Linked DNA regions of Drosophila melanogaster. The protein of the gene in region 1 purifies or fractionates together with the protein of each later gene. This does not show direct contact. Each region holds a gene or a part of one and is shown on either strand. Other genes may lie near its edges.

Region 1 (4,962 bases):
ACTGCCTCTGACCACTGCACAGTGGGGCGAAACTCGGATTACCAAGCCAAAAAAACCAACAGCGTTGAACTAAAGTCATTCCATAGAGCCAACGTGGCGTATTAGTAATGTTAGGAAATGTTAGCTGTAGTTGAGTTGAAACTATTAGTTAAAATTCGTTCAAGTAAAGTCTATATAAAATTAGGTATGTATAATGCAAGATATATAAATCAATGACCATTTGTTTTAATTGTTTTGATTGGTTAATTTTAGTGTTCATAAAAGCGTCTTTATATCTAAGTTTTGCTAAGTTTTTTATATTAGAGAATTTACGGAAAATGTTTTATATAGTTCCATCAAAGATCAATATACTCTAATGCCATTGGCTTAATTGAGTTTCAGTTGTTTTAGTCAAAGGAAACAAGAACTTTGCCACCTGTGCGCAATATTGATTTGATTTTTCTCACACTCCATTGCAGTTTTCGGCGAGGCCGACAAGGAAGCATCAGCCACAGGATGCAGAGCAGTGCCGGCGGAGCGTCGGGGGGCAGCAACTACGAGGACGTGGCCGCCGCCCGCCGAGGACGCTTCCGTGTCACCTCCTCCACGCCACAGGGCCCGCCCGAAACGACGCTCGGCCGCTTTCGTCTCATGCCCACGTGTAAGTTGATTTGGTACTTTTTCGCCTTTACAATTTGAGTTTATATAAAGTATACGACATTAATCATTACAGTTATGCTAATAGTAATTGATATCTTTTGGTCAAATTCTCGATAATAAATGCATGGTGCTGAATACTGACCCCTTCTTTCGCCTTTGCAGCTAATTATGGCGCCATTTCGCCAATCCTCCAGCGGGGTCGCTTCGCCGTGATTCCCGAAGAGCCCCAAGCCGGTTCCCCCGCATTGGGAACGCCTCCGCCGGGCGGCCGAACAGCGCGTTCTCCATCGCCCGAATGGGACTTCGACATCGAGCAGGTGAGTGTTCCCAGTTCCTCGGCTGGGATTGATTGATCGAGCTAGCAAAAAACCCTGAGCATCGAGGAAACTTATTTTCGAGAGTACTTCAAATGTATTTATTGCGTCCTTGGACCTATTTGGAATGGTCTAAATGAAGTTCGTGAATGGTGGCAAATTCATCGACTCCGATTTCAAGTATTTTGCTGTTTCTGGTGGCGTCATTGTGTGCTCCTCGGTGGCCTCTGTGCAATGCGCCATTTTTATTGATTTTTGTTGGCTTAGCTGAAGTTTCAAAGAGTTTGGGTGGGCTCCGAAAGTGTGAAAGGCATGCCAAGGCAACTGGTTATGATTATTTATGGGGCATAAAATCTAATTTCCAGCACTATGATGGAAATAGGAATATGCTTATGTACATAAGTTTAATTTTTTTTAGCTAAAGCTAGCTAAAGTTTTTTTTATAGCTTTTATAGCTTTTTTTATAAAAGCTAAAGTTTTTTTTATAGCTAAAATGTTTTCTATTTTGTATGTTCGGCGTGATTTACAGAGCGGAGCAATTTTTGCAATTCAAACTTATATCATTTTGGCGCCTAAAGCGGCGGTGCATGACAAAAACTGATTGCTATTGCGAACACGGTCCGATCTGGCAACGCGTTGTTTTTTAAGTGTGACCGCCGCCGGAAAGTAGCAAAGCGCATTTTATTTAAAATAACTTCTACGCAACTAAAGAATTCTCAATGATTCTTGTTTATTGAATAAATAAGTAGATATATGTGCGTATTTACTTACGCGAGTGGGCACTTAAGAATTTACTATTTAAATGCACATATTTCAGTAAAATTGCAAACAACGAGTTATAGAAAAATACTAAAACAACGTTACAGTTGTGGTCACGCTAATTCCAACTGGATTGTAAAAAGATCTCTAGCGATAACGATAGGCGAAGAGTAAGACCTTTTCTGCTGGATTTCGCAAACGATAACGATGACCACAATCGTGAGTTAGGTTGCGAACTTTGCTTGGTGAAAACGCAGCGGATTACGAGGTTGGGAAAAACTTTTAATTCGCGTTAAAAAACGGGAGTGCAGTGAAAAACAAAGCAAATTAAATGTTCTTAAATTCTTACTAATTTATAATAAATAATTTAATTGAGAGAAAATTCCGGCATGGTGTCAGGATAGCATGTCCGCGCCAGTGGGTGGCTTAGCCATAAAATTCTTCTGTGATAAGCTGCGTGAACAGCTTTTAATTGTGCGCGAATGGATTGCAGAAATTGCAGTGACAACAACGGCAACAACGGACAATCGATCTTTGTTCTTTTGAGTGCGCAAGTGAATTGTGAAACTTCTTTCTTGTTACACAAAACAATAGCCTCTAATCACTTTTCCTGCCCATGCATACACACACATGTGTGCATATGTACATCCCTATAAAAAATCAATAATCGGCGATCAGCTGTTACGCATACAAACAAACACATGGCGTCGCTGGAAAGAGCGACAGAAACGTTTTGGAAATTTTCCACGGACAAATACTTTTATTTGCCCAGATTTGCTATTCTTCTGTTTTTGTTCCTTGTGTCAGTTTCTAGCTGTGTTTCGCGCAGTAATGGTTTAGATTCTTAATAAAAAGTGGCAAACACAACAACGTCCTGCTGCTCCTCTTCTTCTTCTCACCCCTTCCATTGTCCGATCACTGCGTGTTCCAATTGGAAAGTCGAGTCCAAAGTGGAAGCGCGCGCCCGAATAAATTTTCATTTTGATTCTTGATTTTTATGGCTCGCATTCTTTGCTTTTATTAAGATCGATTCGGTTGTTGTTGCTGGTGTTTTCGTGTTTTGTGATTTATTTGGTGTTGAACCAAATGGCTGATAATTAGCCGAGTGAAATGAGTGCTGTAATCTAATCTGAAAAGTCAACACCTCGAAAGTGTTTGGACATCCAGCGAAAAGTCGTCATTATAATTTCGCTCTAATCTCTGAATATACACTCATAACATATATATAACATATAATGCGCCAACACAACCAGCTAATTCGTTACGTCTCTTCTTATTTACAATAATTTCTTAGCGCAGCTAAATGCCTAATCGCGAAATTGTTTACAAAAGTTTTGTTTTCCACCCGTTCAGGTGAACGTGAATGTGTGTTAGTGTGTACGTGAATGTGCGGATGTGTGTATGCGTTCCTGTGTCCGTGAAATTAATTTTTTAACCGAAATTCGACAATTGTGATTCTGCAATCTGCCAGCGCGAATCAGAAACATCCAATTACTGATAAAAACACACAAAAGGTGGGTGACAATTTATTTTCTTTTTATAATTATCGAAAACCTGATTTACTTCACTGCCTTTATTTTCTTTTTGTGTTGATATGAGCGCTTGACGTTTGATTTTCCCCGAAACTTTTCATCTGCCTTTTGTGTCGGTGACTAAGTTGAGTGGGTGGGAAATTCCCCCAGTTCGCGGCGACGCTGGGAAAATACCCAAAATCGCCCAAAATTTTTTCATAATTAGATTTTCAGAATGTGTAAACAATTTTATTAAATTTTTTTATATTTAGAAAACATTTAATAAAAGCGATCAATTATGTAATAGATAGTGTATAACAGTATCAATAACAGGAATAACAGTATTAAATCAGGCAATGTAAAATATAATAACATAAAACAATTCAAAGGGTCTTACCTGAATTCTTCATACGACTTTTTTTTGTCGAAACTCATTTGAAGTTATGGTTATAAAATCGTGAGTGGATTTCTTTAAATGTAAAAGTACCCTATCACGATGCCTACTACATTTTAGACATTGACTAATTAAGTAAGCACACTTCAAGCGAATGCCCAGAAATTAAAAAAAGATAGCTACTGAAGTTGGCAATCAGGAAATGTCGAACTTTGATCTGCGGATACAACTACTAGAAGTCGCAGATAGTCAGTCGCACTATATGGTAAAATTGAATGTTCGCACTTACAGCTGCCACGATTTGTGTGCCGCCAATTACCTTAAAACAAAAATTGCACTGCCAATGTAAACAAAACGTATTTGAAACTCGTGTTCGAATGGATATACATATGTATGTATGGATTTATTCCTAATCACATGCACACGATACTCCGGATCAGCAGATCGACCAGTGATCGTCGAGATCCGTGAAATTGGATTTGTTTCTACTTTCCGTCCTTACGAAGTGGCTGCACTGAAATCGAAACTGTTTGTTTATCTTAGCAATTAGTTAGCCATAAATGTGCGAGTAAGCGAATAGAAGGGATAAAGCATAAATAATTAAAACTGTTCGCATTAGCAGATGGCAATAAAATAACTCGGTTTCTGGTCCATTCGATCGAATTCAATATTGTTGTTTAGTTTCCGAAAATATTGGTTTTGTAATTGACTTGACTTTGTTCAATTCAACTCAAGTTCCCCGAGCCCCACCATCTTGTCTTCGCCCTCCAGTTTTCTTCTCGTTTTTCCATTTTGGTTCGCCAGCCCGAGTTGAACGAACCTCTTTCAATATCTTTCAGAAAAAGAACCCAACTTTGCTTTGCTCGAAAATCAATATTATTGTTTAAATATTATTCTACGTATACGACACAGCGAGCAATAAATATTTACTAGATGTGCTCATGTTGCAAATTGTATTGGTTTTTTGGGGTTGAGTATGCAAAATCAGCAGGGAAATGGAGCAGAAATTGTTTTCGAGATTAGGAATTGAATAGGCGTAGAAAAAAATGATATTCTAGGAAACTAAATCTTAAACAAAGACGAAAAGCCTTCCTGTTTTGTTAGATTATGGTTCCAACTTTGTATATTATCAAGAACTGGTAAAAAAAACATACACGCGAATTCTTTAGTGGAATTCTTCCAACAATTTAAAAAATGATTTATTTATTGGATCGAAAGATTTTATGTTTAAAATTAAGAAGCTTTAGGAAATACTTCAAATATTAATTATAATGTATACATATAATTGTAAAGCTTTGAAAATGTAGTGATCACATAAAAAATGGGCCATATTTAACAACTTCAA
Region 2 (5,075 bases), on another chromosome or scaffold:
CTGTTGACTAATACCCTTTCACTATGTATACCCTCTGAACTATGTCCCTCTCTATAACACCCCTACTCTCTCTTGATTATGCTTAGGCTAACTAAATGATATGCTCACCTATATGAACCTATATATAAAGTGCTATACGCTAAATGCTTATTTCTGTATTCGTATCTGTATCTTCAGCCCGCATTCCTATTGAAGAGATAGCTTTGATATATCTTTGTAACATTAGCTAAAACATCTTTGTCTTTGATTTCTTCTACTTCTAAGCCGCATACTCATTTTGTTTATTCTTTTTAATCGTTCAAACTCTCCCTATAAAGCAAATCAATTTTAAAAACAAAAATTTGCTTTATCAGTCGGCACATCTTTGTCTTTGTAAATATCTTTTTACGGATAATCCATAAATTATATGTACATTTTCTACGCTAGTTATAGAACACGAATTTAATTTTCAGCTCAACACAAAATAAATAAATAAATCAACATTTTTTGTCAACAAAATATTTATGTAATTTTATACAAAATATACACGAACGTCTAAATTAAATCATCGTGTATTTACGTTTAGACACTAAATACAATACAATCCCAAAATTTGACATTATTTTTGTGTCTACTTTATATGAAGAAATTATTACATAATTCTATATGAAACAAAAAAAAATTTATAATATTTCTAAAATTCTTAAGATCAAATCAACAACATATTTTCTCTGTGTTTTTTGTGCTAAATTTTTTTTACTGGTACTTCTTAATTTAATAATGATGTAAAATAAAGAGGAAAACAATTAAAATATAAAATAAATGTGGAACATAACTATGGTTTTTCTTTTAACTTATAAAAGTGGTTGATAAAAAAAACTATTGAGTTTCAGTTTGACAACAAAGTAGTTCTGACTACACCTCTGCATTGCTGAATAGCTACATATATACATCCTGTGCGTTGCATAAACCTATAAAACTTTCAAATCAAATCGAGAAAATCTTGTAAATTGCAAATCGAGTGCTGAAATGTTACGTAAGCATCTAATAAATATCGAATTTCTGGTGCAAGCGGTTCGCGATTAGGCAATCATGGAATAAGAATCAGAATTATTAGTTTTCTGTGCTACCTTTGCAGAAAGTGAGGTCGTAGTGCTAGATTCGGAGCTGAATTCCAATTGAATTGATTTTGAAGATAAAATACGACAAAGGAATCAAAGGTAAGGGTCGTGGTTCACTATTGAATTCATACTAAAACTACTTTATATATGAAATATTTATTGAAATATGAGTTTGCATTAAAAAGCTAATGCCGTAGTGCTTTGGAAATTATTTGTGTGGATTAACAAAAGCTGAAATGACAGTTTGGAAGTTCTTTTATCACTTTCCATACTATAAGACAATTTAATTAGTAAAAGTTTACATTAAATTAAATGATTAAATATTAAAACAGTTTGTTTAGTTTTAACTTTAAATTATGTTTAACTTCTCTTATTATTTCAAATTATATTTCAGTTCGCCTCACGTTGCATGAAATGCACATATGATCTGTTAATGTAAGTTTATAGACATGAAGCAGTATAGATAGATCAAAAGATAGTTAGGGTATGTTGCACCACCTACCTAGTTTCAGTCTATGCCGACCTATAGTCAAAAACTCACCCCTGCCACAGACCTTGAACTTAAGTCGCGGACAAACAAAACCCGTTGAATCACCCCTGCGAGACCCCCGAGAGACCCTTATATCTGTAATCTCCAGACGGAATGCCAGAAACACGCGGAATATTGGACAACAAACAGAAAGGTTGAAAGAAAACTATATAGAAAAGCTATACTATCCGATCCGAGAGAGACCCTCTGAGCAGAGTGGCTCTGAGCGTGCTGATAGTTTGATAGAGCGATAGATAAAGACTCAACTCAGGTTCACGATCGGTGCAATTGAGTGATATGGCGGATTCTGAGTGTGGAGAGCATATTAAATAATAGCCGAGTGGCGGTGCTCAATCAGTCAGTCAGTCAGGTAGAGCTGGGAATGCTTGCACATATCGCGTATACGCCCCGGCCGGCAAAAGGCATTACAACAGACTTGTAGACCGACTGACTCTCCCGACCGATTCGGTTTCGTATCTTTGTATCGGTGAGAACGCTTCTGGGGACTCGCTGCTCACATTTCGATGCATTTCGCGGTTTTTCGTTTATCCACGGGCTTTTTGCGTTTGTAGTTTTTATTTTCGCCAGCTTAGAACTTGCAATTCTCGTGCATTTATTCAGTTTGAGTCCAGCAAGCGCAGCGTCAACGAGCGGATCTCTCTCTTTAATTTTCCGATTCGGGTTTTCGATTTATTCGCATTTTCTCCGGGTTTTTTTTTTGAGCGCGCAGTTATTGTTTTATATCGCAAGTACTTGGCCGATCTGAAGCAAAGTCAAGCCGTCTGCCGTTGATATTGTCTCTGCCTGTAACTCGATCGCATATTACACACTTTTCGCCTTTTCGGTTCTGTTTCGGATTTGAAGGGGAATAATATTTTTGTTTGTCTCCGTCTTTGCGCTTAATTAAATTGCAGCTTTCTTCCTTGTTTCTGCTGATATTGCCAAAAAAGTTTTTTGTTTTACCTTTTACCATAAAAGAAATTAAAGTGTTTTTGTTATTGGATATCGTTTTCTATATATTGGCGTATATATGTCACCAAGTGCAGAAGTATAAAAAAAAAAACGCGCAAAGCAGAACGGGAAAAGTTATTATGTAACTTTTAAAACACTCGTGCCATAAAAACAGGAACAAATGTGGAATAATTCTTGAAGAAACAAAGTGAAAGGCAGAGGAAAAAACAAAAGTGGATAAGCCGCCAAAGGCAATATATGGATAAAAATAAATAGTTTAAATAATAATGGGCGTTTTTAAAAAGCCAAATAAAAAAGTGTAGTTATATGTCAGTGATGTTGCAATAAAACACAAATACAAGTTTTCACAAGTTAAAAATTGATCTTAGTTAAATACTAAAGTAGTAAAGTTTTATTTAATTGAACAAGTGCATCCAAACTAATGTAGCTAAGATTCAATTTCGAAGTAAATTAACTACTTTACCTGCTAATTACCAAAGTTTTGCGCCAGATTCAAAAGATTAAATTACAAATCAGCTGCGGCAAAATTGTGAAGTGTGCAAAGCAAAAGTGGAGGAAAAAAATAAAAATAATAAAAGCAAAAGTGCATTAGGTAGAACATCCGCAGTGACAAAAATAACAGAAGAAAAATGCCGCGCCAAAAAAGATAAGGCAAACCCAAGGATGAGATACGAGCGAATACGAGTGAAGATACTTCTCGCTTAAAACAAAAGTGCATTCAACCAAAAAAAAATTGAAAACAAACTACCTGTGAGAGCGATTTTTCCACATACATATAATAAAAACTATAATTTTTTTAAAATGTCTTTAGATTTGGAAAGGTATTTTAATAATGTACTCTTTATTCGAATTTTGAATGGAGTTGTGTCGTTTGTTTACTCTAAAAGTTGGATTTCGTACCCAATATTAAAATAAATATAAAAATTAAAAAATATTTTTAGATATTGGTTTTAGTTTCATTCAGCAAGATTGATTGGATATTTTACGCAGTACACTATTTTCATTCCGGTGAATTCAAGATAAATAATATTGTTTGTAAGTTTTGCTTAATTACAAGAATTTCCAGTGGCTGAAACTAGCTAGGTAATTTGCTAGTCGCTTTGCAATCCAACTATTTCCATTTGTTTTATTTAAATTTTTTTTTTTTTGTTTTTTTTATTGTTGGCTGACAAGTCTCAGGTCTCGGATGTGGCGTCTTTTTGAGTTTTTGAAACGTCATCGTCAGCGTTTGACTGCCCCGAGTATCTGTGTGCGCCAGTCTATCTGTGTGCGTGTGTTCTGCTGCAATGGTGTGAGTACGCGTGTGCATTTGTGCAGTGGTGTGCGATCATGCGGTAGTCGCACACGCTCTCAGTAAAACTTATTTCAATTGACAACTAAAAAAACTATAGGCACATGCAAAAAGGTTTTAAACATTACAAGTGATACAACTTCGATTCTTGTTTTTGCATTTAGTCGAATAAATGGGGCACAATTACGAAACGCTACTTAATTTAATCTGCAGTCAGCTGCACTTTCTGGCCATTTTCGCTCTGGCTTGCAGAGCGTATACTTCATTTTCACTTAGAGCAAATATGGCTAGTTGTTGATACGGTGAGATAAGCAACTGATTGACAACTACTCCAGATCTATTTTTTTTTTTTTTTAACAATATTGAGGTAGTTGGAAACAAAGAACGAAAACTTAAGGAAAGCCTCTGGGTCGTTTTTTAATTAAAAGAACTTATAGAAAAATGCACTTAAATTTCTAATGACTAAAAGTTAGACACCCTTCATTTATATCAAAAGGAATAACCTAAAGAGAGCAAAACTTTGGACTGAATAAGTTTAACCTAATGAATTTTGTAATGGTATAGTGAGTTTTTGTCCACTTAAATGAAATCAAGTTAGTTTTTAATTAGTCGGAATTTAATCGATACTAAATAGAATTCATTTAAAATTTCCCCCTTAACGAAAATATTATTCAATTTCAATCTAAACATATTAAATCATTATAAAGATCGATTTATGTGATGAACTGATGATTTTAAGCAGACTGCTAATGATTCAGATACGTCAATTTATTATTAGATTGTTAAACGTTTAGGGAAAGGAAAATCCAAGATCCGTTTAGGGTTCTGTTTATAGAACAACAACTCCATGCTGGAAAACCACATAGAAGTATACCCCTTGAACACTATTAACGATGAACTCGGAATTGGTAGATTGTAATTAAATCCCGTCTCGGTAAAATAAGGGGGAACGAACGCCGACGAAATAAATCAATGAATGACTAGAGGTAAAAATAAAATAATAGTGAACAATTTAATTAAGTCAAGTTTAAGACAACAAACGCTAGAGCGCGACGAAAAGTATTACAAGTTTTGCGGAAAGAGAAATAGAAGGCGAGGAAGCAAAGTTGTACAACGGGTCGTATGAGTATTGGGTATTATCACTCACACACGGGCACTATGTTGTAATCGCAATGCAATTAGC

Evidence for each region. The genes of interacting proteins can lie anywhere in the genome.
Region 2: the proteins of SNF4Agamma (region 1) and Clk purify together in Drosophila melanogaster (affinity purification with western blotting; one study listed by BioGRID). This does not show direct contact.

What each region holds. Positions count from the first base shown.
Region 1 is NT_033777.3:21,154,432-21,159,393, forward strand, and holds the start of SNF4Agamma (SNF4/AMP-activated protein kinase gamma subunit), read left to right. Parts: upstream 1-1,930; 5' UTR 1,931-1,980; intron 1,981-3,006; exon of another isoform or gene 3,007-3,065; 5' UTR 3,066-3,226; intron 3,227-4,806; exon of another isoform or gene 4,807-4,958; coding exon of another isoform or gene 4,959-4,962. Other genes in the region: cDIP (common Dpr-interacting protein), read right to left, coding at 4,959-4,962.
Region 2 is NT_037436.4:7,772,537-7,777,611, reverse strand, and holds the start of Clk (clock), read left to right. Parts: upstream 1-2,008; 5' UTR 2,009-2,116; intron 2,117-5,075. UniProt on the Drosophila melanogaster protein: Circadian regulator that acts as a transcription factor and generates a rhythmic output with a period of about 24 hours. Oscillates in antiphase to the cycling observed for period (PER) and timeless (TIM).